2 linked regions of the Stegostoma tigrinum genome follow. The protein of the gene in region 2 interacts with the protein of the main gene of each other region in a biochemical or structural test. Links are inferred from orthologs where the notes say so. Each region holds a gene or a part of one and is shown on either strand. Other genes may lie near its edges.

What was found.
Region 1: the proteins of myo18ab (region 2) and golph3a form a complex in vitro, tested with the Homo sapiens proteins (2 studies listed by IntAct). The link is inferred for Stegostoma tigrinum from reciprocal best matches to the Homo sapiens genes MYO18A and GOLPH3.

The regions. Positions count from the first base shown.
Region 1 is NC_081354.1:140,802,671-140,818,068, reverse strand, and holds the start of golph3a (Golgi phosphoprotein 3), read left to right. Parts: upstream 1-7,026; 5' UTR 7,027-7,235; coding exon 7,236-7,430; intron 7,431-15,398. UniProt on the Homo sapiens protein: Phosphatidylinositol-4-phosphate-binding protein that links Golgi membranes to the cytoskeleton and may participate in the tensile force required for vesicle budding from the Golgi.
Region 2 is NC_081380.1:29,906,590-29,921,986, forward strand, and holds the start of myo18ab (unconventional myosin-XVIIIa), read right to left. Parts: upstream 5,927-15,397; 5' UTR 5,818-5,926; intron 1-5,817.

The sequences.
Region 1 (15,398 bases), on a different chromosome or scaffold from region 2:
TGATCCAACTCAACAAGTTTCCCTCAATTCTTTGTGCTTTAACCTTCTCAATCGGTCTCCCATGTACGAACTTGTCAACAGATTTGCTAAAATCCATATAAATTACATCAACTGAACTTCCCTTAATCACGCATGATCACATTTTCAAAAAGTTCAAACAAATTTGTTAGGAATGACCTCCCTCTGACAAACCATGCTATTTCTAATTAACCCGTACCTTTCCAAGTGGGTATTCATTTGCTCCTTTGGAATTTTCTCCATTGGTTTCCCTACCACTGATGCGAGGCTCTCCAGTCTGTAATTTTGTGGTTCATCTCTACCACCCTTCTTGAAAGATGGAACCACATCAGGCACCCTCCAGTCCTCTGGCACTTTCCCTCTGGACAGAGGTAAATTTAAAATTTGTGTTAGATCCCCTGCAATTTCTTCCCTCAACTTCCACAGCAACCTGAGAAGCAATTCATCCAAGCCCGGACAGCCTCCAATACTTTCCCATTTCCTATGTCAAATTGTGCAAGTTCCTCACAATCCCTTTTCCTGAATTCCCAATCTACATTCTCCCTCGCTAGAGGGAAGACCTAAGATCTCATTTAATACCCTTTCAACATCCTGTAGCTTTACACACCGGTTGCCTCCTTGGTTCCTATTCTTTCCCTGCTTAACCTCTTTACCTTTTAATCTATTTACACAATATCTTAGGACTTGTGAACAGAATTAGGGAAAATCCTTTCTCATGCCCTCTTTTTGCTCTTTTACTTGCTTTCTTGTTTACTGCTGCATTTCCGTATTGCTCTAGGAGCAGAGTGGCAGTGATAGCTTTGGGCTTGCTAAAAGCCCTTCTCTTCTCCCCCGTCCAGTCCTGAATTGTCCTAGACACCCAGGGTTCTCTGAACTTATTGCTCCTATATTTCCCAATAAAGAATACATGCTACCCCATTGCTCTGCTGAAGACTTACCACAATGAGCTGTTCCCAGTCAACAGTGGCCAGATCTTGCTTTATTTTAATAAAATCTGCCTTTGCCCAATCCAAAGCCATCTTTTGCAGGCCATCTTTTTCCACTTCCAGAACAAATTTGAACTATACTGTGTTGTGGTTGCCATTGCTAAAATGTTCTGCCAATGTCACATTAACATTTGTCTGGCTTCTTTCCCCAGAGCCAGTTCCAGCACTGCACCATCCCTTTTTCGGCCTTCAATAATTTGATACAATAAATTCACGTGGATACATTTCAAATAATCCACCCTCTCCCCTCTAAACCCTTAACACTATGACTATCCCAATTTATGTTGGGAAAGTTGAAATCCCTTAGTATAATTGCCCTGTTATTACTTCTACACACTTCTGTGAACTGTCTACATATTTGCTCCTCTTTCCTAATGACTCTTTGGAGCCTAAAATACCTTCCCAGTAAACTGGCTGCCACCTTAACATTCCCATGTTCTACTCACAAAGCCCTGTCTGAGGACCTTTCCAAGATCTAACAACTGATTCTGCTGTAGAGCAGGGTAGGCATAGTCCAGGTGAGTAAGAGTATTGGGTGACTCAATAGGGGCACAAACAGTCGTTTCTCTGGCTATGAATGAGAATCTAGGATGGTGTGTTACCTCCCTGGTGCCAGGGTACTGGATGTCCTGAAATGGGAAAGAAAATATGCAAAAGTCATTGTCTACGTTGGCACAAATGACATCGGTAGGAAGAGGTAAGATGGCCTCTGAAGACAATTCAGGGAGTTAGGTAAGGAGCTTGAAAAAACAACTAGCAGAGTAGTAATCTCGGGACTGCTACCAGTGCCGTGGGCTAGTGAGGCCAGGAACAGGGAGGGAGTACAGTTCAACATGTGGCGAGAGAGTGGGTGTAGGAGGGAAGGCTTTAGCTATATAGATCATTGGGATGTCTTCTGGGGAAGGTGGGACCTATACAAGAAGGATGGATTGCACCTCAACTGGAGGGGCACCGACAGCTTGAGGGGGTGGGGGGGTTAAACTAGTGTGGTGGGTGTGGGAATCAGAACAACAGGCCAGTAAGCGCAGGGGCTGGGGACAAAAGCGAGACTGAGACATTCATACTACAGAGTAACAGCAGACACGGGGAAGTCATGGTGCTCAGATGGACTGGAGGTCTGGAATACATATACTTTAATGTAAAAAGTGAGGCAGTTAAGATAGATGAACTAAATGCATTAATTACTGCATGGAATTATGATGTTATTGCCATTGTGGAGACATGGTTAAAGGAGGGACAGGACTGGCAGTTTAACATTCCAGAATATCACTGTTTTAGAAGGGACAGGAAGGGTTAAAAAAAAAGGGTTGGGGGATTGCATTGCTGATTAGGGATCATGCCACAGCTGTGTTGAGGGAAGACATCTTGCAGTAAAGCATTATAGGTGGCACTCGAGAATAGGAAGGGAAAAATCACAATGTTGGGAGTTTTCTATAGATCTCCCAACAGCCCACAGGAGACACAAGAGCAGATACGTCGTCAGATGCTGGAAAGGTGTGAAAAAAGCAGGGTGGGTGACTTCAACTTTCCTCTTGTTGACTGGGAATCCCTTACAGCCAGGTGCTTGGATGGAGAGCAATTTGTTAGATGTGTCCAGAGGACTTTTTGAGACAGCATGTTGACAGTCCAACCAGAGAGGAGGCAATATCACACTTGGTATGAGGGAACAAGCCAGAACAGGTAACTGATGTTTCAGTAGGTCAGCATTTTGAACTAGTGACCATACCTCCATAAGATTTCGAATAGTCATGGATAAGGACCTCGGGTGAGGATGTTTAAATGGGCAAAGGCCAATTCCATCCACATTAGACAGGAATTGGGGAATGTGGATTGGGAGCAGTTATTTCAGGGAAAATCTACATCTGGCTTGTGGGACGCTTTAAAAGACCAGTTGATTAAAGTGCAGGACATGCATGTCCCTGCAAAACTGAAAGATAGGAATGGCAGGATTCAGGAACCATGAATGACAAAGGAGTTTTAAGACTAGTCAAAAAGAAAAAGCAATCACAAAATTGGTCCAGGCAGCTACAAACTGACTAAACCATTGAGGAGTATAGAAAAAGTAGGAAGGAACTTAAATGTGGAATTAGGCAGGCTAAAAGGCATCGTGAAATGTCTTTAGCAAACAGGGTCAAGGAGAATTGATTGATTTTTGTCACATGAACCAAAATACAGTGAAAAGCTTTGTTTACAAGCAGTACAGGCAGATCACAGCAAGCAAAGGATGTACAGATTGAAAAGACTTGAGGCATCCAGGTTATATTGCAGGTTACGTTATTTGAGGCTAGAGTCCATTCAACGGTCTGATAAAGACCAGAAAGAAGCTGTTCCTGAATCTGCTGGCGTGTGTGTTCAAGCTTCTATATCTTCTGCCTGATGGAAGAGGGTGTAGGAGGTCATTACCGGGGTGAGATGAGTCTTTGATGATGTTGGCCACCTTTCTGCGGCAGCGAGCCATGTAAATAGAGTGCATGGATGGAAGGTTGGCTTCCATGATGGTCTGGGCTGTGCTAACCACCTTCTGTAGTTTCTTACAGTCGTGGGCAGAGCAGATGCCACACCAGTATGCACCCCAACAGTATGGTTTCAGTGGTGCAGCTGTAGAAGTTGGTAACTGACCTTATGGACATGACAAATTTCCTGAGCGGCCTGAAGAAGTAGAGGCTTTGTTGTGCCTTCTTGACTGTCGCATCTACGTGGGATAGCCAGGATAGGTCATTGGTTATCGTTGTTCCGAGGAACTTGATGCTCTTCACCCTCTCAACCTCAGTTCCGTTGAGGTAGATGAGGGTGTGTTCTCCTCCCTTTTTTCTGAAGTCAGATTAGTTTTGCAAACGTTGAGGGATTGTTTTCATTGCACCATGTTACCAAACCTTCTATCTCCCAAGGCTTTTTATGCATATATTAGAAGGAAGAGGGTAGTAAGGGAAAGAGCAGGCCCACTCAAGGATAAAGGTGAGAAGTTATACATGGGGAAGCCACAAGAAGTTTGGGAGATCCTTAATGAGTACTTTGTATTGGTGTTCACCAAGGTAAAGACATGACTTACGCAGAGGCAGGGATGAGCATGTGAATGCCCTAGAGAATGTCAATATATTGAAGGAGGAAGTTTTGGGTTTCCTAAATTACAAAAAAATATACAAGTCCCACGACCAGATGGGATCTATCCCAGGTTACTGCAAGAGGTAAGGAGAGAAATAGCTAGGCATCAGCAGATATCTTCACAGCCTCTTTGCCCACAAGTAAAGTTCCAGAGAACTGGAGATTAGCCAGTGTTGTTCCCTTGTTTAAGAAAGGAAGTAGGGATAATCCAGGAAATTATAGGCAGGTGAGCCTATAAAGGGGAAGTTCTCAGAGAAGATACTGAGGGACAATATATATGCTCATTTAGAAAAAAGTGTAGTAGTTAGTGACGGGTAACATGATGTTGTATGAAGAAAGTCATGTCTCATCAACTTTATTGAATTTTTTGAAGAGGTGACAAAGATAATTGATGATGGAAGGGCTGTGGATATAGTTTATATGGACTTTAGTAATGCATTTGATAGTCCCACCCTTATACATTAATGACCTAGCTGAAGGAACTGAGGGCATCCTGGCTAGGTTTGCAGATGATACAAAGATAGGTAGATGGTCAGGCAATATTGCGGATGCAGGGAGGCTGCAGAAGGATTTGGATAGGTTAGGAGAGTGGGCAAAGAAGTGGCAGATGGAGTACAAGATGGGAAAGTGTAAGGTCATACACTTGGGTAAGAAGAATACAGCTATAGACTATTTTCTAAGTGGGGAGAAAACTTAGAAGTCTGAAATGCAAAGAGACTTCGGAGTTCTAGTCCAGGAATCTCTCAAGGTAAACTTGCAGGTTGAGTCAGTAGTTGGGAAGGCATATACAACTTTGGCATTTATTTTTGAGATAATTTAAAAATAAAAGCACGGATGTACTTCTAAGGCTCTATAAAGCTCTGATTAGGCTACAATTGAAGTAATGTGCACAGTTTTGGGCCCCTTATCTCAGCCCTGGAGCAGGTTCAGAGGAAGTTCACGAGAATGGTCCCAGGAGTGAAAAGCTTAACATCTGAGAAACGTGGAACTATACTCATTGGAGATTAGAAGAATGAGGAGGGGATCTAATTGAAACAGAATATTGAAGGGCCTGGACGGAGTGGGTGTTGGGAAGACATTTTCATTGGTAAAACAGACGAGGACACGAGTGCACAGGCTTCGAGTAAAGGGAACCCCTTTTAGAACAGAGAGAAGGAGAAATTTCCTCAGCCAGAGAGTGGTGAATCTATGATAACAAGGTGTGGAGCTGGATGAACACAGTAGGCCAAGCAGCATCTGAGGAGCAGGAAAGCTGACGGTTTGGGCCTAGACCTTCATCAGAAATGGGCTATGGAATTCACTGCCACAGAAGGCTGTGTAGGTTGTCATTGAGTAAATTTAAGACAGAGACAAATAGGTTCTTGATTGTCAAAGGGATTAGGGGTTATGGGGAGAGTGTGGGAGAATGGGGTTGAGAAACTTATTAGCCACGATTGAATGGCAGAACAGACTCGATGGGTTGAATGGCCGAATTTCTGCTACTATGTCTTATAGTCTTATGGCAGATTGGTACAAAAACTAAAATCATGTGGGATTTGGGATGGGCTGGCTAGATGGATACAAAACTGGCTTGATCATAGAAGAGAGAGGGTAGTGATGAAAGGATGTTTTTCAGAATGTAGACTGGTAATTAGTGGTGTTCCACAGGGGTCAGTCTTAGGTCCTTTATTCTTTACAGTATATATAAATGATCTGGAGGAAAATGTTGGTGGTCTGATTAACGAGTTTTCAGATGACACGAGGATTGCTGGAGTTTCTGATGTGCCGACAATTGTGAAAAGATACAACAGGACACAGATAGATTGGCGATTTTAGCACAGAAATGTCAGATGGAGTTTAATCCAGACAATTGAAAGGGTTGGAGCATCAAATTTAGGCGTGAATTATACAGTAAATGGCAGAACCCTTAGGAAGGTTGACATTCAGACGGATCTGGGGGTGCAGATCCAGGTCCCTAAAAGTGGCAACATAGGTGGCCAAGGTGATTAAAAAGGCATAGAATGGCTCACTGCCATTTTCTCCAAAGGAAACAGTATTGCACAATAACTGCTGGCTTTGTCATACTAGAATTCTTTGAGGAGGTACAAGTAAGGTAGATAAAGACACAGTAGTGCAACAGCCCATAGTATTAAAGATAAAATATGAACATAGATAGAGGATTAGCTAATAGAAGACAGAAACAAAAACAGTAATTGCAGGAAAAACTCAGCAGGTCTGGTAGCATCTATAGCCAGAAAACAGAATTAAAATTTCGAGTTCAGTGATCCTTCTTTAGAACTCTACCCAAAATACCATAACCGTCTTCAAATATTAATTTAGGATTATTAAAATTCACCTACAACATTAGATGAGCAAGACTGCGCCATCTCCACGTCGAGATTCTCTGTCCCTCCAATCCCACTGCCTCCTCGCTCCATACACCTTCCCCTACTCCACCGCCAATCCCACCCACCCGACACCACTCCCCCTTCCTCCACCCTTTCACACACTTCATTCCCACTCCAGCTCCGCCCTCTCATCCGCCTCTTCCTCCCGTTCACTTCGCCTCCTCCATCATCCCAGTGCCGCTCTCCCCGCCCCTCCCGCTCCAAGCTCTCACGCGGTTTCTCCTCGTCCTTCCCCTGCAGACCCGCCCCTTCTTCTCCCATTCACACTCCAACCCCACCCCTTTAGCCCCGCGCCCCTCTCTTACACGCAAGCCGTCCCCAGCCCCGCCCACTCACTCACTGCCCTGCCCGCACACGCTATCCAGCCCCGTCGCCTTCCTCATTCCCCTACCACCCCCACTCGGCCCCTGACCCTCTCTTCCAAGCCAACCCGGCCCCACCCCTACAGGTTCTCGCCCTTCAGCCCGCCCCCTCGCCCCGCCCTCCTCTTTAAGGGACGCTCGGCAGCGTCTGCCACATCCCACTGTGACGTCAGCAGGGCCGACTGGCCGCTTCCTTTGCCGCCGCCATATTGCTGGAAAGAAATCCAGCGACGGGAAATTTGGTTCCCCCCTTGCCCGGAGTTTTCATGTTGTACTGCCGGTATTGAGCGAAAACAACCGCTCCCCTCCTTGTCAAATTTATGAAGCCTCCTTCCTGACAAGACAGAAACTAGCGGCCGACCCCCGATCCTCCTCGAGCCATGTCGACTCTCACTCAGAGGAGCTCCGGCCTCGTCCAAAGGAAGACCGAAGCTTCGAGGAACGCGGAAAAAATCCCCGACGGCGACGACGACCGGAGGGCCGAGCATGAGCAGGAAGACGAAAAAGGCGACTCTAAAGAAACTCGTCTAACCCTGATGGAGGAGGTCCTGCTGTTGGGCCTGAAGGATCGGGAGGTCTTATTTATTTTATTCCGTTTCCATGAGCGGCAATAACATGGCTATGCCTTCCTCTTCAGGTTAAAGACGGTCTGATTTTGTGTGAAAGTGTAGGCCCGCAAGATTGTCAACCTAACCTGAACGGAGGGTGTTTGAAGGGAGAGGCGGGTTCGAGAGTGATTGAGGTGTTTACTGACCAGTACTGAAGGGTGTAATTGCGGGGATAGATGGTGGGATGGAGTTAGTCCAATAGGACTGACGGAGGGTGGTTCTTACTGCTCATCAAGTGTGGTTGCTTCTGTACACAATACCTGCGCTGACTGAACACCAGCTCAGTTCCGGTTACAAGCTGACTGAGAGCCAAATGTTAGTGATGGGAAGACTGGTACAGAAAAAGTATTAAGTGCGGAGCCGTTTATAAGAAAGACTTGGCCATTTTTCTAGTGGGGTGATGAACTGAATAGCGCAACTTTTGTGCAAGGGAATAGAGACACCAGGAAATCTGAAATTTAAGAGGAACCTGGGATTGTCAAGTTCAGACAACACAAAACAATACCAGTTTATGTTTGTGCAGCAGGATCGTGGTAGAAAAATGTCTTTAGGCGCATCACAGGAACTTTGCAAAACAACTGACTCTTAGCCGCCCAAGGGGATAATTGGGTTTGGTTAAATGCCCGTTTAATGAGGTAGGAAAAGTAGGAATGTAATGAAGAAGGATGAGCGAGTTAAGAAAAGAAATGCAAGAATTTGGATCACTGACCCCTGAAGGCTGGACTACAAGTGAGCATTTAGAATCAGGGATGTTCGAGGTCAAACTGGAAGATCACATCTGAAAGGTTCTTAGCTGGAGATGGAGCAGAAATGTGTGAAGCAATGGAGGGAGTCAAAACATAGTTGTGTTTTAAAACTAAGTTGCTTCAACAAAAAGTCACACTAAGTTAACAAACAATGATGGGTGAATGGAACTCTGTGTTAGTATATGGGAGGTAGAAATTTGATTTTTTTTTATGGACGATAATACTGACCAGGTGTGTGTTTCCATTGTCAGTGCAACAAAGAAGTGGATGAGGTGTGCAAAAGCAGATGATACTGGGATGAAGTTGGGTATTGTAATTAATGTATAAGGGTTGTTAGTCATGGTGCAATATGTGACCAGAGGCTCCGCTAAGGATATTATAAGATGCTGGAGTTGCGAACAGCCAGGTTTTGCCACACCGACTTACTAGAGACAACGATAGATTTCTTGACTAAGAAATCTTAATTTCAGAGGAACTCTGAGTCTTGATACAGGAAACAGGTTTAGTTGAAAAATATTTCAGCTTCTGCATTTGCAAGACTGTATGTTTTGCCTTTCTTCAAGTGTTTGAAGCTGTTGATGGTTTTGGAGCAATTCAGTAAACTTATGCATTTAGATGAAATTGCTGTAGAATTATTTTAGGCTAGCTTACTAAGGTTACCACAGGATGCTGGAGTTATGAACAGTCTGGCCCCAACACTTGCCAGGGTGAAGGATAGAGTCTTCCATTTAGTTGTTGGAATTTTCGCTCATTCAGTCCTGAGTATTGGACAAGAGTCTCTGCAATGCAGAACTAATGTCATGTCGGTGGTGACGGGGTAAAACTGAGTGTTGTCAACCTGCGTGCAAAAACTGACATTTTATTTTTGGTGATTAATTGTCATGGGCAGCATTGTAGATAGGTAAAAGGAGGTGCTGCAAAGATGGTGTCCTTTTAAAGGATCTAAATATAATGATTTGGAAGCATTGCAGGTGATCCTCTGATATGAGTAGGTAGATATGAATATAATTAGTCAACTGCGAATCTGTTTAGTTGGCTGATTGGTGAGGTGTTGGAGATGGAAGACATGGTCAGCCGCAGCTAGGATCTGTGGGGATGTTTTGCCTTTGACGTTAACATGAGATAATTTATGATTTTGATAGAGGCTATTTTAGTACTGTGGCAGAGACAGAAATTTGATTGCAAAGAGTTAAATTTGAAGCGCTCAAGGTTGGAGACATTTTGGTATAAATTGTGGGAATGATTTGTGAACATAACTTTATTTAATTTTCAATATTGGATGATCTGTGTAGTTTCACAATGCTAATTTTTATTTTCATCTGAGTTTGCAAGACATAATTTAATAATTACTGTAGTCTACATGCAGTGCAACAACTTTGCTGAAATTTTAAGAGTTGTGAAAGGCTTGCTGATACAGTAGTTCTGTAGGAACTGAATCTTGATACATGATTTGCAGTTTAAAAATACTTCAACTTGCGCATTTGCATGACAGTATGATTTCTGTTCCTTTGAAAAATGCTTGAGGCTCTTAAGTGCTAATTATAAAATAATTGTAAAGAAATCATTTACAAAGTTAGATTTTTTTTTAGGTATAATTGTTCTACGTTGGTGTTTGCTGAGTGATTTTTGTTTTGGAATAGTCCTGATCTAAATCCAAGAATAAAGTCAGACTTGCCCAATTTTCTGTTTTTAAAAAAAACAGTATTGGTTGTTATTACAGTCATCAAATGATGGCTTTTGCCCCATTAATGTAGGTTGCTACTACAGTTACTTTTATGAAAAAAAATCGATTAGATGATGTTTTAGATTTCATTTATTAAGTAACTTCCTTGTGCAATTTCAGTATCCAGAATAAATTTAGAAATGCTTACCTATATTAAGTTATTTAGTTTGAGGTTTCTTTTAAGATTACTTACAGTGCAAAATAGCAACACTCAAACGTACTGCGAGAATTGGGTAAGTCAAAACTGCAGCCATGAAGTTGAGTCAAACACATGTGGCTATCTGTTTTTAGTGCAGCAGTTGAAAGTTATAAGCGCTTCCGTGGAAACTGCTCCAATTTTTTGGAATGTTAGATGCTAAAAAAAGCATGTTCTGTCAGGATCCTTCTTCAGTTTCCTTGATTTACACTTCACTTGTGTTATGAATAAAGTAGAAAACTGGTGTTTAAGATTGGAAGTAAAACAAGAAAAATGCTGGAAATAAATGTCTGGGGGCATCTGTAGGAAGAGAAACACTAGCCCAACCAGCTCTATGTTAAGATAAGTAACGATGAAGAAGAGAAGGATCTATTGCAGTAAAATCTTACATTACGTACACTGTTTCAAGATAGCGCTGGAGCATGGTGACATTTTGCGCTTGCATGTGTGAAAACACTTTTCACTACATTTTTATATACATTTGACAATAAATAAAATATGAATTCTATTCCCTCAATTGTTGTGGCCTCAAGACAGCTTCAGGGCAGCCTGTGATTTTATAGTTACTTAGAATAGTCAAGAATCATAGTCAGTATTCAGGAAACTCTTGTAAATTGTTTAAACGGTTTACCAAGTCCACTCACCTGGCATGCACTCTTAAGAAACCACATAAATAGGAAGAAATAGATGCTTGACCACTTACTTCTGTTGATACAGTTCCCAGATGACCTTACAACGATTGTTTTGTAGAGCTGAACTCGAACATATTGCAATGGATTTGCTTGGAGGTGTTATGATTCAACAGGTGGAAGTTGAGCATTTGGTGCATTTTGAGATTATGGCTTACTACTTGTTCTAATATGTCAATGTCTGTTTTTCTGCATGATATTAGAGGTGTGCATTGGGGGATAGCTACTATGAATGGCTCCACCTGATTAAGATGTATGGTTGCAAGAACAGGTTTTTTAAAAATTTATCTTCTACTCCATATTCCAAGACTTATGGCTCATTGACTGTACAGTAGGTGAGCATGGGGCAGGGGAATAGGATATGGGATGAGGGGTAAGGGCAACTAAGAGCTTTTAAATGCCTCGAGATATGCCTTGTAACCAGCCTGCTTTGGCAATCAACCACTCTTCCTGACCCTGCCTTCACTCTCCTTCCAGAGTTTATTAGATTAACTATTCCCATCGATTCCCTAGAGCAAAATTGCTTGTGACCAGGCTGTTTATACAGAGAAGAGTCTGCCAAGTCAGAAAACAAAAGAATCTAGCCCAACATTTCACATTTCAAAACATGAAAAATAATTGATCTGAATATCTTTACTGTGCACACATTCTACCAGATAAGTATTTTCAGTATATTCTACACGTAATGGAGAAAAAGGTGTTGAGATTTGGGATTTTCATGCTAACTATACATGGCAGATTCCTGATTGGTAATCAAATCATTTAGTGAAGCCCAAGAAACAGATGGGGTTGAAAGCCAAGGTCTTCCAGATGACTGATTCATCCTACCAGATATTGTACACTGTTGGAAATAAGTTGTGCCTTTGGACTTGTTTTGAAAGTTCCCAGAAAGGAGGACCTTTTTGTTTAAATTGTCTGTTGTTTTTTAAAAAAAATTCTTTTCCCGTAAAGAAAACTAGTTATTATATATAGATAACAAAGTGTGGAGCTGGATGAACACAGCAGGCCAAGCAGCATCTCAGGAGCACAAAAGCTGACGTTTTGGGCCTACTCCCTTCATCAGAGAGGTTTTCTGATGAAGGGTCTAGGCCTGAAACGTCAGCTTTTGTGCCCCTGAGATGCTGCTTGGCCTGCTGTGTTCATCCAGCTCCGCACTTTGTTATCTTGGATACTCCAGCATCTGCAGCTCCCATTATCTCTGGTTATTATATATAGCATATTATCCTGATGTTTTGTATGAAAACAATGATCAGGAGTTTGTAGTTCACCTCTCATCTGCTCTGCTATTCAATATGACCATAGCTGATATCATCTTGGCCTCAACTACACCTCTTTCCAGCCCACTCCCCATAACCCTTCATCTACTCTGAATTGAGGGTGCAGTTTGAGAAAAACAGTATTTGGAGCGTGTATTTTTGTATCGTGATAAATTTTGTAGAATTCAAGCTGTTGACTTGAAACTTTGCTTAGTTTACAGTTTAGCACTCTGATTATTTGAAAAACTGTGTAAAATCTTCAAGTGCCAGCAAATTTTGGCATCTTAATTGAACCTGTTAATTTCAAAGACATTAATGTATTTCAGGTGTGGTAGACTAGTGTGATTTCTTTAAATGCTGCTGAAAATATGCCCATTCCACTCTTTCTGTCTGCCTAATTCAGATTTTTTTCACTTGATCCTGCATACAAGCCAAATATATTAATTTGAGCCAGAAATTCCAGATGTAAGATATGTACAAAACAACAAGTTAATGACTTGAATTAAAAATGTTTGAAAATCCTTGTACCATACTTTTTAAATCAAGAACAGAAGGGGAAACAATTAAAGATAGTGACAAAACAAAATTAATTATTTCTTGTTAAGTTTTCAACTTACTGCTACCGTACAATTTTTGAGGGCCATTATAGTTGAGTTTGCTGCTCCTAACTGATTTATTTCTTATTACCTTATTCATTATTCCTTAATTCACTTGTGGGATGTTATCAATGCATTTATTGTCCATCTCTAATTGCTGCTGAGAAGATGGTGAATTTGAGCTGTTGCATTTTGTAAGTAAACCCACAGTACTGTTAAGGAATTTCAGGTTTTTGAACAAGTGGCAGCAAAGGAATGGCATTGGAGTTCCATGTCAAGGTGATGTGTGACTTGAAGTGAAACTTGTAGGTGTTGTGTTTCCATACATTTGTTGCACTTGTGGGTGGCAGAACTCTTAAATTTTGGAGATGATGTTGAAAGACATTCTTGATGTATTACTACTGTGCATCACTGCAGGGAGGGAATATTTAAGGTGGAGTGAGGTACTGAACAAATGTGTTGCAATGTCCTCTATGATATTAAACTTTTTGCTTTGTTATTTGAACTGCATTGATTGAGACAAATGAGAGATTTCCATCAAACTCCTGACTACTTCTATATACATGGCAATTGGACATTGGAGACTCAGGAAGTGAATTGCTTCAAGAAATATATACTGTCTGATCTGCTTTTGTAGACACCGTGATTATATGGGTCCTCCAGCTGCGTACTGGTCAATGATGACTTACACCCAGCCCTAAACCAAAAGAATATTGATAGGATAGAATATCCTTTATTGTCACTTGTACTCCAGTACAGTGAAAACTTTTTACAATGGCTGCCTTTTGGTGCCATCTTAGATATAAGTACCTTGGTACAAATCCTAGCGTTTAAAAAAAAATAGTGTTGTTATACAAAGAGGATTAAAAGGAGAAAGCATGAGCATTACTTAATGTTTGAGAATGAGTTATGAATGAGGTAGTTATAACACTATGAAAAGTGTTTACATTACAGTCTGGCAAAGAATTCCAAAGCATGGCAGCTCAGCATGTGGTGTCAGGTGCAAGTCCAACAATTATCCCGCATTGCTCCAGTCTTCAGATCACTCCTTACTGGCACTCAGCAGCAACAAGGTAGGTTGTGCAGTATGGGATTGGCTTCAGAGTAAACAGTAATGCCATTGAGCATCAAGAGGAGATGGTTAGATGTTCTTTTGTTTGGAATGTTTCTTGCCTGGCACTTCTGAGCCATGATCATTGCTTGTCAGTAAACGGTGCAAGCCTCAATACATAAAGGTCTTGTGGTATGTGGTGATGATCTAGTTAATATTTGAGGTGTCATGAGCACTGAACACTAAAGTCATCAGTGAAGTTTTCAACTTCACACCTTAGGAAGGAACTGATGCTGGCAGGGCCTAGGAAACTACACCAAAGAACTTCTGAAAAAAATCTTCTGATTTGATATTAAAAAAATCTGTTCTGTCTTTCTCTGTCTTGTTTGTTCGCGCTGTCTCTCCCCCTCTCATTCGTAATCTTTCTCTCGTTCGTGTTCGTGTTTGTGTTCATTTTTTCCCTCCCTGCAAAATCCCTTTGGTTCAGTCACCATTTGGCCTATCCTAGAGAGGCAAAAATTCTTAAGGACTCTGTCCATTAACAAGAGTGGCTGAGTGGCATTAAAGAGCTCCACTCAGAGTATATCGTGTACTCTTGCTATCCACGATGTGACTTATAGTTGGTAATCAAAATTGAGGAATACTGATTGCTCAGCCAAAGGCAGGTGGGCAATGGCCAGTTCCCTTGCTTGTTTCTAACCTGATGTCATGAGATTTCATAAAGTCTGGAGTCAACAGTTTGGACTCCCCAGGCCATGGACTCAAGGCAGCTGTATACAATTGTGTTCCCATATCTTTTGGGTCTGGCATATGGAATGCACTGCTGGCAGTGGCAGTGGAGTCAGATACTTTCGAGACTTTAAATGCGACTTTTGGATAGGCAGGGTAGATTGATCTTGGTAGGATAATAGGTTGGTACAACATTGTGGGCCGTAGGGCCTGTACTAATCTATGTTCTGTGGTGATGGAGGATTCTGGGACTTTCAGGGTAAGTTATGATTTTGTGAACATGATTGCTCCTCTCATCTGAGAGAGCTGTCCCAATTTTGGCAGAAGTCCCCATATGTTTGATTGACCAGTCCCTACATTTTATGTTGGGAGTGTATTTTTTATCAATATGAGCAATTCAGGCGTGACAGGCAAAACAGACCAGATAGAAAGATTTTGTGTGCTTGTACAAAATACATGTGGTTGACTTAAATACAAATGCTGACTTCTAGACCTGGGACCAGCTCATTACTTTCTTAACAACTAGTATGTAATTAATTTTGGCCTACAGACTTATATTTTTATTCATTCATGTGCTCTGTGTTGCTTTGATTGTGTGTATTGTGGAGATGTGACTGCATAATCAGTATTTAATGAGCTTGAGTTGGGGGTGTTGAGGTAAACTTGCAAGAAATCCTTGGAAACAATGAACTACTTGTTGCTTCTTGCAAAAATAAATAGCCTTTTTCATCAGTGCACAGGTATGCAGAAAGTGTAACTGGTTATTTGGATATCTCCACATTGCTTTTTCCCTTTGGATAATAGTGGAAACGTAATGAAGGGCTTCCTGGGCTCTATTGAGGCTAAGCATGACTACTGCTCACGTGGCCACAAGCCCTGATGTGGGATTTGGAGCTAGAACTTCTGGCTGTACTAAGGACACTGTCTCTGCACTACAAGGCCTCCTTTT
Region 2 (15,397 bases):
ATGGCGAGTTCCCATCCTTGGTAACCTTGCAGCCTCATCTCCATAATCACAGCCACATCATGACGAGTATTTGCACTGATAATTGATCTACCTCATTACGAATGCTCCGCCCATTAAGAATTAAAGCTTTTAGACCTGACTTGTTAGTCATCTGAGCTTTCCTTTGCATTATGGTCCCACATGCTTTCTGCCCTCAATTTTTCTGCCTTAGCTTTCTGTCTCTTGTTTCTATCCTTGTTGCTCCATCCTCGGTCTCCCTGCTCAGGTTGACTTCCCCTTCCCCATCTTTAAAGAATATTAATTATGCTCTGATCTTATTTTGCTTCAAACATTCCCATCGCAATGCAAAGTTCTTGCCTTTAGTCTTTGGAGACCTTACTTTAATTCTTAACTTTAGATCCTTCATGTTACTTTTATGAGCTTTTATATTAGCCCCAACTTTCGGTTATATCCAAGTACAGCTGTTTGTTCTAAAAAGAAAGGAACAACGTGCATTCCAGCCTCAAAAAAAGATTGTTTTAGCTGTGTAGGGTACCACAGCTGGTATAGGAGGAAGATTGTCTTTAGTCTAAGAAGCACATGGACAAAGGAAAGACTGATCAAAATAGGCTTTACAGCTGGTTGCAAACTTGAGAAATTCTTTAACTAACTAGCACACCTGAAGGTGGACACCAAAATTTACTCATCAGTGAAGCAGGGATATGGGAACCCACTGTAAGCTGAGAACTAGAGACTGTTCACTATCAGAACTGTAATTTCATAAAGCATGAAACATCTCTTAACTATAACGGGGAATGATCTTCTTTGTAGTTTAAAGCCTAATTTGCCAACCAAAGCAAAAAAGTGTGCTTGCTCAATACCGTTTTTTCTTTTAAAATTTGTTTGTGGGATATGGATGTTGCTGGTTGGTCAGTACTTATTGTCTGTCCCAGTTGCCCTTGAGAAGGTTGTGGCGAGCTGCCTTCTTGAACCACTGCAGTCCACCTGGTCCAGGTATTAGTCACTTGATACAGTGAAAAGTTTTAAAAACAGGATATCTTGCTATGTCCACCTGTCAACCTCTAATTCAGAGTTTGAATCTTTCGTAAATGTTTTCTGTCTCAGATCAGAACAAAATTAGATTTGATACAATTGCACAGTCAATATCAGTGTTCTGATATTAGTTAAAAATTGACCTCCAAGTTTCCTATTTTCTAAGACATAAATGTTTAAAAAGTAGGTAACTTGTATACAATAAGCTGACTGAGACATCAGAAATCACCACTGCAAGTAAATTAATTTTGGTCAGTAGTTGGGTGATAAGATGTGGGATATTCAGTACATCAATGCTGCTTCATTATTCAATTGGTTCATAGCTGATCTGGTCAACTTCAAATCCATTTTCCTACCTTCTCCCCAGTTCTCTTACTGATTTAAAAAAAAAATTCTGTCTCAGCTTTGACTATAGTTAATGGTGGGGTCCTGGGGAGTGGTGCCAAACAAACAGACCTTGGGGTGCAGGTGCATAGTTGAGTCGCAGGTAGACAGGGTGGTGAAGGCAGCATATGACACACTTGCCTTCATTGGTCACTACATTGAGTATAGGAGTTAGGATGTCATGCTGCACCTGTACAAGATGTTAGTGAAGTGACTGTAGAATACGGCATTCAATTCCGGTCTTCCTGCAATAGGAATGATGTTGAGAAATGTGAAAGGTCTCAAAATGTTTAAGGACGCCCTTGGGATTGGAAGGTGTCAGCTGCAGGGAGAGGTTGAGTGAACTGGACTGAGAGGTGACATTATAGAGTTTTATAAAATCTTGAAGGGCATGAACGGCATGAATAGCCAAAGTCGTTTTCCTACAGCTGGGGAGTCCAAAACTAGCAGGTGTAGCTTTAAGATAAGAGGGATATAAGGAGCAACTATTTCACAAAGAGCGTGGTGCTTGTATGGAACAAACTGCCAGAAGAGATGGTGGAGGTGGGTACAATTACAACATTTTAAAGGTAGCTATATGGGTACATGAATAGGAAGGGCTTACAGGGATATGGGACATATGCTGAAAATTGAGAATTTAATCAATTTAGGGTACCTGTCAGCATGGATGAATTGGGGCGAAGAGTCTGTTTCCATGTTCTACGACTCTATGACCCAGCCTCCTTGGCTTAAAAATAACCCACAGATTTCCAGCCCTCAGAAGAAATTCCTCCTTATCTCTGCCTTAAATGGGAATGTATTGTGATCATATCCACTGAAATAGCTCAGTTGTGAAAGAATTAAAGATCCCTAGTTCAGTTCCGGGTTTTGGCAGTGAATTCATTTTGGAAGTCCACCACAGTTGTATAATAACATCTTTGAATAGGTCAATTAGAAAATCTCTCCCCAACAAGGGAAACAATCTTTCCACATCAAACTTGTTAAGTTCTCTAAGAATCATACAGGTTTCAAAAAGGTCACTTTTTTTATTCCAAATAGCACAGGCTGTATTCACTCAACCTCTCCTCATAAGACAGTCCTTCCATACTTGCTATCAACTTAGAAAATCTCCTTTGGAATGTGTCTAATGCCAATGTATCCTTCCTTAGATAAAGGGGCCCAAAACTGTTCACAGTCATCTCTGATGTAGTCTGATAGCCGTATACAGCTTTAAACAAAACCTTGTAACTTCTAGATACCATTCCCTCTGAAATAAAGGTCAATATTCAATGGACAAGAACTCCATAATCCTGCTGTAGTCTTTCTCCATTCAAATAACATCCAGCTCCTCTATTCTTTCTGTCAAAATGCAAAACCTCACACCTCATATTTGAATGGCCTAGTTTTTGCCCATTCTCTTAATCTGTCCACATCCCTCTGCAGATTCTTTGTATCATCTTCACCACTTGTCTTTCCACGTCTTTTTGTATCATCCATAAACTTGACTATAATACACTGACTTTCCTCATCCAAGTGATTAATATATGTTGTAAATAATTATAGCCTCAGCATTAATCCCTGTGATGCACCATTAATTACAGGTTGCCAGCATGAAAATTGCCTCCTTATCCCAATTCTGTTTCCTATACTGCCACCAACACTGTGGCCTCTTAAGTGGCGAATATGTAACCATCTGAAAATTCAAATATATTACATCAACTACTTCACCTTTATCTGTCTTGTTATTGCCTCAAAGGATTCTACTAAATTTTTCAGGCTTGATTTCCACCTCATGTAGCCATCATATTGCGCATTTCTTTGCTGTTGTATCTTTTGCAAAAGATGCTGACATTTTCATCAATAAAAGACAGTAAGCTAACTTGCATATAGATTCTTTCCATTTTGATTGTTTGGTCATGTCAAGTTGAAACTCTAATAACATTTTTATCCAAGGAAGTATCTTAATGGTAATGTATATTTTAAAAACATGATCTGAAGCAAAAATAATTATTTAATCTTCTCACTCTCAGCAGATCCTCACCAAAGTTTTGCATAGACAAAGGCAACAATGGTGACCAGTGTGGTCTCGACTTCATTCCAGAGGTTCTCTTTTATTATTGAAAAACCCAAGTTTTAAGTTATTAATCTTAAAATTAAAGCCATAGTTTTATATTTTTAATTAAAATATGTTCAAAATGAACAAAATGTTAAAAAATTGGAACAAAATACTACTAACATGACTACATTTAAAATATATTTATACTGGTTCTAAAAGGCAGCAAATTTCACCCTGCTAATTCAATAGGCTACATAACTAAGTTCAAGTTTTAGGACAATTTGGAAGATATACAGATCCTCAATAATTTTAAAACTACATCATGCTATGCTCCATTTTAAATTGTGAAGGCCTCTGTGATCTTCACAACTCTCTCCAAGTTTTTATTGTGGCTCTTCTAAAATTCAAATTTTTTTAAACTTAATGTTCCCAAGCATGGTACACTGGTGCACTTAATCATTTGCTTCTTCCAATCCAAGCTTGATTCTGCTAGTTAAAACTAAGAGTGCATATACCAAAGAGAAGTTATCCCTTTTTTCCACAAGTAGTACACAAAACCGGTGTTTAAATCAAACACAGGTATATTTCACTATTTATAATGCATTAATATTTGAGCAGTGTGCTGCATCAGCACTACATTTCTAAAAGTTGGCTGTAAAGGTATAAGTTTTGTCACTGCACTACACTGTAATATAATAGTACCTGAAAAAGGGAGCACTGAAAATTCCTAAATATTTTGTTACAGACATATCAATTCATATCTCTAGTTCAATTAAAAAGCTACTTTGTGAAGTGTTTATGTTGCTAATGTTTGTGTAAATCAGCAAAAGCAAGTTGTGCATCCATTCACAAATTTGAGTGATGTAGTAGACAAGAAAACATCATTGTTTTATTCAAAAATCAGTACTCAAGTGAGATATTCTGTAGGAGGAGGTAAATGTCATCAACATAAAAATACAGTATGCACATTATACCAGTTTAAGGCTTAACTGAAAATTATTTGGCCTTTATTAGGTGATTATGAAGAAAAATATACTCTCATCTTTAACAATAAGATTAAAAATATTACATCCATGTGTATTAGAGAATTTTGCTGTGAGGAAAACAATAGAACATTTACTTGTGGAAATAAATAATAAAACTGAATCACAAAACTGTTATGTTTGTAGTAATTATAACTGTTGACTTTTTTTAAAAAAGTAAACAGTACCAAAGTATGCAACTAAATATCAAATTAGTTTGTTACTATACATCTTGTTGCAACTGACAGCAATACTATTTCAGTGCTTTGGGCATTACTAGACAGTGCTTTACATCAACATATAAGCTTTATTGTGAACAAAAATTCATTATGCAGGATTAGCTTTTCTTTTGCGAGTTAACAGCTACTGCGGCTATGTTTACTATAAATAAATTCAAAACAATAATAATTCTCGCTTTCTGGCAAAACAAACAGAACACTCCTCAGTAAATTGACAAAATCGATTTAACTGTTGTTCATCTATCGATTTAACTCGTATTCACCTCGAATGTACTGAGAAAAATTATTAAACACGATGTAAATAAATTGAAGGGGTGAATCCATAATTGCCCATGTTTTCCACAGAACTGCAACCGGTATTCTCAGGCAAAGGGAGACTTAACAACATATCCTTCGGAGATGGTAGTCAAATTGCTTTTTTGTGTGACTTCTGATTTAAAGGCGATCTTGGCATTGCTTGAACACAAATAAATCATCAATATGTCAAACTTGCCACGAATTGTTGCAATAACTTTCAGTTTTGACGTTTTGTTTCAAATCAGTGGCTTTTGTTCGAGACATTAGTCCCTTGAAGTGCACGGTATTGTGCCTTTAAAGGTTAAGTCCGCCTTGTACCTTTTTCACCTTGTGAAATACCCCACTCCCAGACAGAAAAAAAGCCGTAGGTACAGTGGTGAGCTTGGCCTATAATCGAAATCAGTAACAAAACAGACATGCTTCACAAACAATGGGAAAAGATGAAGACAACAAAAAGAATACTGTCAAATTTGTCGAACCAGGCGGCTTTCAATTCCCCTTGGAGACCTCAGCTTTCAGCAGTACCTTGTCCCTCCCCGAGCCCCCCAAAACCCCCGCCCTTTGATTTTGGTGGAGCATCCTGGAAACGTTTGGCGATTCGCTTCCTGAAAACGCAACCCTCCTTCCTTCCATCCAGACACACACAAAAAAAACCAACATGCAAAAGAAAAGCCCCACAATATCACTCAGGAATGTGTTCCTGATGGGCCGGACACACTCGGAATTAAACCGCCCCCGTAAATAAAATAGGAACAGGTAAGGGTAGGTGAATGACGCTGAACGAAAGCAATAGGCAACAGAGACTCACCGAAGAGAGCACGAGCGTGCATTATTTGCGGGTATCGCCGCCACCGCTCGACAGCCGTTGACAGCACGAGCCTCCCTCTCGCTCGACCCACCGCCAGCCGGCGCGCGCCTCCGAGACGGTTAAAATGACGCTGCGTGCGCGTGCTCGGGCCGCCGTCACACCGTCACTGCGCAGCTGCAGGTTTCACGTGCCCGTTCGCATAGCCCGCATCACCTGGCTCGTGCCGCCGATGATGGGTTCCGACCTTTGTCCGAGTTACAGATGCTTTCCTCTTTGCCCTACCTCGGTGGAACCGTGAGATCATTTTTTGTTTTAAAGGAAAACACCGAAACTGGAATTGCAGAAATTTTTGAATCGCCGGTTTAAAAAAAATCGGTCGCGAGCGAAGTATGGAAAATAAGGAATGTTGAGACAGAGAAAGATAGGTAGAGAGGGATAGAGATGATTAAAGGTATAGAGCTTGATTAAAATGGAGAGAGGCAGAAAGAATTGTCTAGCAATGCCAGCAGATTTGTCAACAGCGTAAATATTTGTCCAAAAAATGCCTTCGTCAAAAAAAAGCAAAGCGGTTTTTGAGCCAAATGGAGATGGTTGCTTTCCGCCCTGACTTTAAAACTCTCATTTCCCAAATGGATATCGATTCCTTCAAGGATTGTGTGGTTAAGACAGAACTCAATACAGAGAAAATACATTCCAATTCCAGCCTGGCACCGCCTGGCTTAAAGTTATTGGCATCCTTCCAATGACACTAGGGAATTCACTGTTGAGTAATATCTGGCAGGGGTTTCAGAGATAAGCTGTGAAATGATGACAAAATCTGGGTCAATTCCCTTTATATTTGGATTTCTTTTGTTTTGCGTCACTGTGTTTTCAACAGGTTCCGCTTATTCTAAATTATGCCAAAGCTATACGATATGTTTGGTACGAACACTGCAGCGAGACCAAATTGTGCAGATGATTTCTCATTGAAATGGATTTTATGTTATTTTCATTGCTCCTCCCCTTTCAACAAAGTTTTCAGTAGTGCTGAGATAACTGTCAGGTAGGGGCAGACAAACTCCTGGACGATTCCCATCGTCATCTGCCGTGCCATTTGTTTTAATTACATGCAGCGGGTTTATAATAAATGAAAGTGTTCAAATCAAATGAAATAAAAGCTTATCTTTAAAAAAATCTGCTGCTGTTCCCCTGGGCTGCTCGCAATAGCGTTAAGGGGCGTAAAACCTATGCCAAAGCGGGTGCGTAGAAAAGACGATTTGTCTTTTTGTTTTGGTATTCAGAACTTCTAATCGCTCAATTTTTGGATCGTGGTAAGCAGAAGGAGCTATTCACCAGGCGTCATCGCAAAGGAATTTCAGGTACATGGCCAACCGGAAGAAAAGATTGCATCTTGCGATTGAAGCCAGGTTAAACCAGTCAGAAGAATGCTGAATCCCAAGATTTGCATTTAGATGCGCAATAGCTAGGCCAAGTTTGATGTTCAAAAAACTTAATTGGAGTCTAAATTGGAACCATTAGTGTACAATGATTGTATTGTTAATGTATTTGCTCCATAACAGTGAATTAAGAAAAATAAACGAAGATCCTATTTTGTTTTACCCTCAGTACTTCCAGCTGAGATAGCAGCTGTTCCAAGCTTTGTTTTTGAGTCAGTCTCCAACAGCGCAGGGTAACTTGTCCTCTGAGACTTTTTCGTCCTCACTGTGTGGAAAACATCTATGCTGCATTCTTCTAGATGCAAACAGCATAGATTAAGAACTCATTAATGTGGAATCATAGGTACAAATGCAGATCTAACCACTGTTTAGCACAACTGATTGTATAGACTGACTTAGATCTTTATTTCGCAATAGTTGTGAAACTAGGCTAATAGTCACACAGCAATAAATAAGTAAGTAGCACACTCATAAAGCCACACCTTGTTGGTGTGTACTGAGCAACATTTTCATTAGAGATAATGGGAACTGCAGATGTTTTAAATAATCCTTCAGTGCTTATCATTTATATTTTCATATCCACATTCTATTCTATTCAAGTTGTGATTTTTTTTTTCCAAAACCAGATGATTTATCATTAAAGGTTCCAATCCTATCATATGCCTGTAATTCTCAGATGGCCATATGCATTCACTGCTGAGAACTCTCCAAATCTTAGAACTAAAGGTGTACGTTCAATATATTGTAAAGTTAAAATGTTGTTTATAGTAAATAAACATTTTAATCCTTGTCCCTTGCTCCTCTGAAAATGTGTTGCATCATAGAGATAGTTGAATTCACAGGGATGCAGGCACTAAGCTATAATGGCCTCCTCAACCTTCTATCAACGTTTATCTTCATTCGAGGTGTCTCGCTATTGACTAACTACAGTACCCCTTTCTTGTATTGTTCCACTGCTATTTACAAATCAGTGATTATGCCACAGTTTAAAATCATCTGGTGTGTTGGCTGCCTCTTTATTAAATTTACATGAAAAGCATTAAGACTGTACAGCATAGGACCACAAGATGATGCCAGCAATGAAATGCTGTCAACTCAAATTTTCGTTACGGTCAGGGTGAGGTTTGAATCAGTTAATATCTTGCCCTATAGTTAGGAGAAGAGCATTGAAATACTGGCCTCAGGTTTTACAGGATACCATAGTTCTACAAACTCTCACTCCTGGCTAAAAGGTGAGATTGGGGTGGGGGAGCATGGGAGTGGGAGGGTAGCCCATCCAACTGAACAGCAGCTAGCCTGCTACCATTATACAGGCAGTTGTAAAATAAGAGACCTGAAACTGGAATTCAGCCCCTCTAGACTGGAAATCATACATCACAAAGCCTGCTGCATGATGTGAAACTGGCAGCTATTGACTATCCCTGAAACTGCATGGCTTGCTAAGCAACTTCTAAGATGCAGGGTTCCTTCACCGAAAATCATGAAGTATCAATTGAATTTTAACACAAACCACCAGTTTCATAGTCGATTTTAGTAGTGCCAGCAATTTTTCGAGGAAAATTTTGAATTTCAAACCTAAAAAAGTTTGGACAAAGATTAGGTTTGGAATGCATATTCAGTGGATTATTAAAATAAGTAAACTTACAACTATTGTAGAAAACTATGTCACTTGCATTTTCCACTGAAGTTCTTGATCAGATGATTGGGGAATAACAGATTCCTTTGTTCAAGAAGTCAGTATTGAGAAGTCATCAAGTTAAAATTGTCAGTAAGAGAAGTCAGAAGAAATTTCACACAGTAAGAGTTGAATCAGAAACATTGCATTTTGTAATGGAAAATTGGATAAATATTTGAAGCAAAGTTGGAGAATACAAGAGTTGAAATATTTTGAGGTTAGAAGAATTAATTTCAGATTGTTCTTGAAAAGAATCTGAACAGCATGATAAGATGAATGGCTCTGACTATGCTGTAAGCTTTTATGGTTATAGCCTCAACTTGGTCAAATCTCCAGTACTCATCCTACTCTTTCTCACATCCTACTCACCCAATCGTGTTGTCACCGACCTCACAAGCTCCTCCAAAATCACAAATTCAAAAACTTTGCATTTCATTTCCTTAATTTCTGGAACCCCTTTCCACTTGAGTGTTGACGAGAGCCATCTCAACTTCACCGAAATCAGTCCTTAGTAAGGGGCTCACCTTTGTCCCCCTACAACCACACATCAACAAATACCAGTCACGATTGGACATAGAGCAGTTTTTCCGCTGTCTTCGCCTCCATGCCTACTTCTTCAACCGGGAGCCTAACCCTCCCTCCACTGACCCCTTTACCCGCTTCCAACACAAGTCCTCCTCCTGGACACCACTCCCAGGCCTCCTACCCTCCCTCGACCTCTTCATCTCCAACTGCCGTCGAGACATTAACCGCCTCAACCTCTCCACCCCTCTCACCCACTCCAACCTCTCCCCCGCAGAACGGGCAGCCCTCCGCTCCAACCCCAACCTCACCATCAAACCTGCAGACACGGGTGGCACAGTGGTAGTATGGCGCACTGACCTCTACATCGCCGAGGCCAGACCCCAACTCTCCGACACCACCTCCTACCGCCCCCTCGATCATGACCCCACACCCGAGCACCAAACCATCATCTCCAACACCATTCATGACCTCATCACCTCAGGGGACCTCCCACCCACAGCCTCCAACTTCATTGTTCCCCAACCCCGCACGGCCCGTTTCTATCTCCTTCCCAAAATCCACAAACCTGCCTGCCCTGGTCGACCCATCGTCTCAGCCTGCTCCTGCCCCACCGAACTCATCTCCACCTATCTGGACTCCATTTTCTCCCCTTTGGTCCAGGAACTCCCCACCTACGTCTGTGACACCACCCACGCCCTCCACCTCCTCCAGGACTTCCAATTCCCTGGCACCCAACACCTCATCTTCACCATGGACGTCCAGTCCCTATACACCTGCATTCCACATGCAGATGGCCTCAAGGCCCTCCGCTTCTTCCTGTCCCGCAGGCCCGACCAGTCCCCCTCCACCGACACCCTCATCCGCCTAGCTGAACTCGTCCTCACCCTCAACAACTTCTCTTTTGACTCCACCCACTTCCTACAGACTAAGGGGGTGGCCATGGGCACCCGCATGGGCCCCAGCTATGCCTGCCTCTTTGTAGGTTACATGGAACAGTCCGTCTTCCGCACCTACACAGGCCCCAAACCTCACCTCTTCCTCCGGTATATTGATGACTGTATCGGCGCCGCCTCTTGCTCCCCAGAGGAGCTCGAACAGTTCATCCACTTCACCAACACCTTCCACCCCAACCTTCAGTTCACCTGGGCCATCTCCAGCACATCCCTCACCTTCCTGGACCTCTGAGTCTCCATCTCAGGCAACCAGCTTGTAACTGATGTCCATTTCAAGCCCACCGACTCCCACAGCTACCTAGAATACACCTCCTCCCACCCGCCCTCCTGCAAAAATTCCATCCCCTATTCCCAATTCCTCCGCCTCCGCCGCATCTGCTCCCACGATAAGACATTCCACTCCCGCACATCCCAGATGTCCAAGTTCTTCAAGGACCGCAACTTTCCCCCCACAGTGATCGAGAACGCCCTTGACTGCGTCTCCCGTATTTCCCGCAACACATCCCTCACACCCCGCCCCCGCCACGACCGCCCCAAGAGGATCCCCCTCGTTCTCACACACCACCCCACCAACCTCCGGTTACAACGCATCATCCTCCGACACTTCCGCCATCTACAATCCGACCCCACCACCCAAGACATTTTTCCATCCCCACCCCTGTCTGCTTTCCGGAGAGACCACTCTCTCCGTGACTCCCTTGTTCGCTCCACACTGCCCTCCAACCCCACCACACCCGGCACCTTCCCCTGCAACCGCAGGAAATGCTACACTTGCCCCCACACCTCCTCCCTCACCCCTATCCCAGGCCCCAAGATGACATTCCACATTAAGCAGAGGTTCACCTGCACATCTGCCAATGTGGTATACTGCATCCACTGTACCCGGTGTGGCTTCCTCTACATTGGGGAAACCAAGCGGAGGCTTGGAGACCGCTTTGCAGAACACCTCCGCTCAGTTCGCAACAAACAACTGCACCTCCCAGGCGCAAACCATTTCCACTCCCCCTCCCATTCTTTAGATGACATGTCCATCATGGGCCTCCTGCAGTGCCACAATGATGTCACCCGAAGATTGCAGGAACAGCAACTCATATTCCGCCTGGGAACCCTGCAGCCTAATGGTATCAATGTGGACTTCACCAGTTTCAAAATCTCCGCTTCCCCTACTGCATCCCTAAACCAGCCCAGTTCGTCCCCTCCCCCCACTGCACCACACAACCAGCCCAGCTCTTCCCCTCCACCCACTGCATCCCAAAACCAGTCCAACCTGTCTCTGCCTCCCTAACCTGTTCTTCTTCCCACCCATCCCTTCCTCCCACCCCAAGCCGCACCCCCATCTACCTACTAACCTCATCCCACCTCCTTGACCTGTCCGTCTTCCCTGGACTGACCTATCCCCTCCCTACCTCTCCACCTATACTCTCTCCACCTATCTTCTTTTCTCTCCATCTTCGGTCCGCCTCCCGCTCTCTCCCTATTTATTCCAGAACCCTCACCCCATCCCCCTCTCTGATGAAGGGCCTAGGCCCGAAACGTCAGCTTTTGTGCTCCTGAGATGCTGCTTGGCCTGCTGTGTTCATCCAGCCTCACATTTTATTATCCTGGAATTCTCCAGCATCTGCAGTTCCCATTATCTCTCAACTTCACCACCACCTCTCTCAATTCACATATAGTCTAAATTGTTAGAACTGTTTGCCCTACATCTAGTACTGGGTAAATGGAACCTTTTTCCACTTAACTATTGCAAAGTCCAAAGCCTTTATCTTTACCTTCCACCACAAATTGTGTTTCTAGTCACTGACTCCACCCCTTTATCTGATCAATCTGGGGCTGAACCAGACTTAGAGTCATAGTCGCACAGCATGGAAATGGACTCTTTGGTCCAACTTGTCTGCACTGATCAAGTTTCCCTGACTTTTTACCTTGGTTTTCTATTTAATGAGATAAGTTGCAAACCACATATCCATTCCATCACTAAAACTGTACGTTTCTGTCTCCATAATTTTACCTGTTTTAGATCATCTGTTCCTGAAATCCTCACCCTGGCCTTTATAAACTTTTTTTAATATACACTTTGCTAGTATCTTCCATCTTCCACACACATACAGTTTTCAAAAATGCTATTATTCATCTTTTAACTTGCACCACATTCCCTTCACCCATTTCATCTGAGTTGCTGATCTCCATTAGCTCCCAGTTAAGCAGTGCCTCAAACTTAAAACTCTTATCCTTGTTTTAAAATCTCTCCAAGGCATCCCCCTACTGTAACTCTCATCAGCACAATCTTCCAAGATTGCCACCCAGGTTGACAGGGCTGTTAAGAAGGCATACAGTGTTTTAGCTTTTATTAATAGAGGGGTCGAGTTCCGGAACCAAGAGGTTACGCTGCAGCTGTACAAAACTCTGGTGCGGCCGCACTTGGAGTATTGTGTACAGTTCTGGTCACCGCATTGTAAGAAGGATGTGGAAGCTTTGGAAAGGGTGCAGAGGAGATTTACTAGGATGTTGCCTGGTATGGAGGGAAGGTCTTATGAGGAAAGGCTGAGGGACTTGAGTCTGTTTTCATTTGAGAGAAGAAGGTTGAGAGGTGACTTTATTGAAACATATAAAATAATCAGAGGGTTGGATAGGGTGGATAGGAAGAGCCTTTTTCCTAGAATGGTGACGGCGAGCACAAGGGGGCATAGCTTTAAATTGAGGGGTGAAAGATATAGGACAGATGTCAGAGGTAGTTTCTTTACTCAGAGTAGTAAGGGAATGGAACGCTTTGCCTGCAACGGTAGTAGATTTGCCAACTCTAGGTACATTTAAGTCGTCATTGGATAAGCATATGGAATACATGGAATAGTGTAGGTTAGAGGGGCTTGAGATCGGTATGACAGGTCATCACAACATCGAGGGCCAAAGGGCCTGTACTGTGCTGTAATGTTGTATGTTCTATGTTCTATCTCTGCAGTCCTCCAGTTCTGGTCTCATGCAAAGTCTTGGGTTTATTCCTCATTATTGGTTCCATGCCTTCAGCTGCTGTGGTGTTAGGATTTTGAGTTCCCTCCCTTATCATCTATGCCTTTCAATTTTTCTTTCCACATTAGCCTAGCGTCTTGGACAGGTTTCTGCTCTGCTTCCCTGAATATTATGTGGTGTAGAGTCAAATGTTGTTTGCTGAGACTCATATGAAGCATCTTGGGGTATTTTGCTATGTCAGTGAGGTATATAAGTGAAAGCTGTTGTTGTTCGCATGAAATCCATCACATTATCTGGTCTAATTTATGCTGGAATCTATTCGGCATAGAACAGACTTTCATTTCCAATTGCTGATTTAAGCAAAGACTATTTACTCAGGTTGCAGGAGAGTTGAGAGTGAAGACAAGAGGGCAGAATTTAACTTCTGTCAGTAGCCATCAGGAGCAAGTTGTAACTTCATATGGGAATGGAAGTTAAGGATGCTTACAGTTACCGCCCACTCAGAAATGAGTTAAAATTACATCCAAGACCCAGTTTCCCCATGGGACTCTGGTGGAATTTAAATAATTTGTTAATTAATGTCTTCGCCAGAGTGCAATGGAAGTCTCATCTGATGCCAAGACAAACTCAGAGCAGGAAATGAGGACACTCCATTCTGAACAGTCTTTTACTTTATTTCCTAGAAATTGAAGTAAGTTCAAATCATACTACAAAGATTTTTTTTCAAAGCTATTATTAGCTATCCATATTAGCTTGTACAAAAGATGGTGCTATAAGACATAGACTAATGAATATATTGCACAGTAAAATCTATTTCTGAGTTTCACTCAACGGGCAGCATTTATAAAGTTAGCACTGAAACTGGACAAGAACGGGTGGTGCATTGCACATTGAAGAACACGTTACAATAAAATTTGATTGCAATGTCAGAAATGCCGATTACTACAAAATTAAGAAAATAGTAGCTCCCCTGGTGGATAATGCTTTCAGTTTTAAACTTAATGTTCCCCTGTTCTAGTTTTCGGAAGTCAGTTTGAACATAATTGACAAAGAAATAGAGAGTAAATTGGGAGAATTCTTTGATGCAGTAAGCCATTGTGGACTAGAGTGCACTATCTGAAAGGGTGATAGAAGCAAATTCAATTATAATTTGCAAAATGTACCTTAATATATGCGTGAAAAAAAATCTAAGTCTGTAGGGAAGAGGAGGGGAGTAGAAACCACTTTTAAAGGTACAGCACAGCTATAATGGGTTGAATGGTCTCTTCAGTATAATTTTCCTGATATGAATATTTATCTCATTAAATTTAGGAATAACTTAAGTATTTTTCATTCATTGATGTGATGTGGCCTTTGCTGGCTTATCTAGCATTGATTGCCCATCCCTGATTGTCGTTGAGAAGGTGGTAGGTAGCTGGCTTCTTGAACCACTGCGGTCAATTTGGTGTCGGTAGCCCCACAAAGCTATTAGGGATGGAATTCCAGGAGTTTGATCCAGCAGTACTGAAGGAACAGCAATGTATTTCCAACACAGGGTGGCAAGTGGCTTGGACATGAACTTGCAGTTCTCGTGTTTCTATTTCTGTTTCTGATTGTGGTGATCATATGTTTGAATGGTGCTGCCTAAGGGGATTTAGTGAATGTCTACAATGCATCTTGTAGATGGTACAAACAATAGCTACAGCATTGATAGTGGAGGGAGTGAATATTTATGTTTGTTGTGCCAATCAAGTGGACTTGATAAGAAGGCAATGGCCTCATGGTATTATTACTAGACTATTAATTCAGAAACTCAGCTAATCTTCTGGGGACCTGGCTTCGCATCCCACCATGGCAGAATTTGAATTCAGTTTTTAAAAAAACCTGGAATTAAGATACTGATGACCATGAAGCCATTGCCGATTGTTGGAAAAACCCATCTGGCTTACTATTGTCTTTCATGGAAGGACAATTGCCATCCTCAGGTAGCACGGTGGCTCAGTGGTTAGCACTGCTGTGTCGCAGAGCCAGAGACCTGGGTTCAGTTT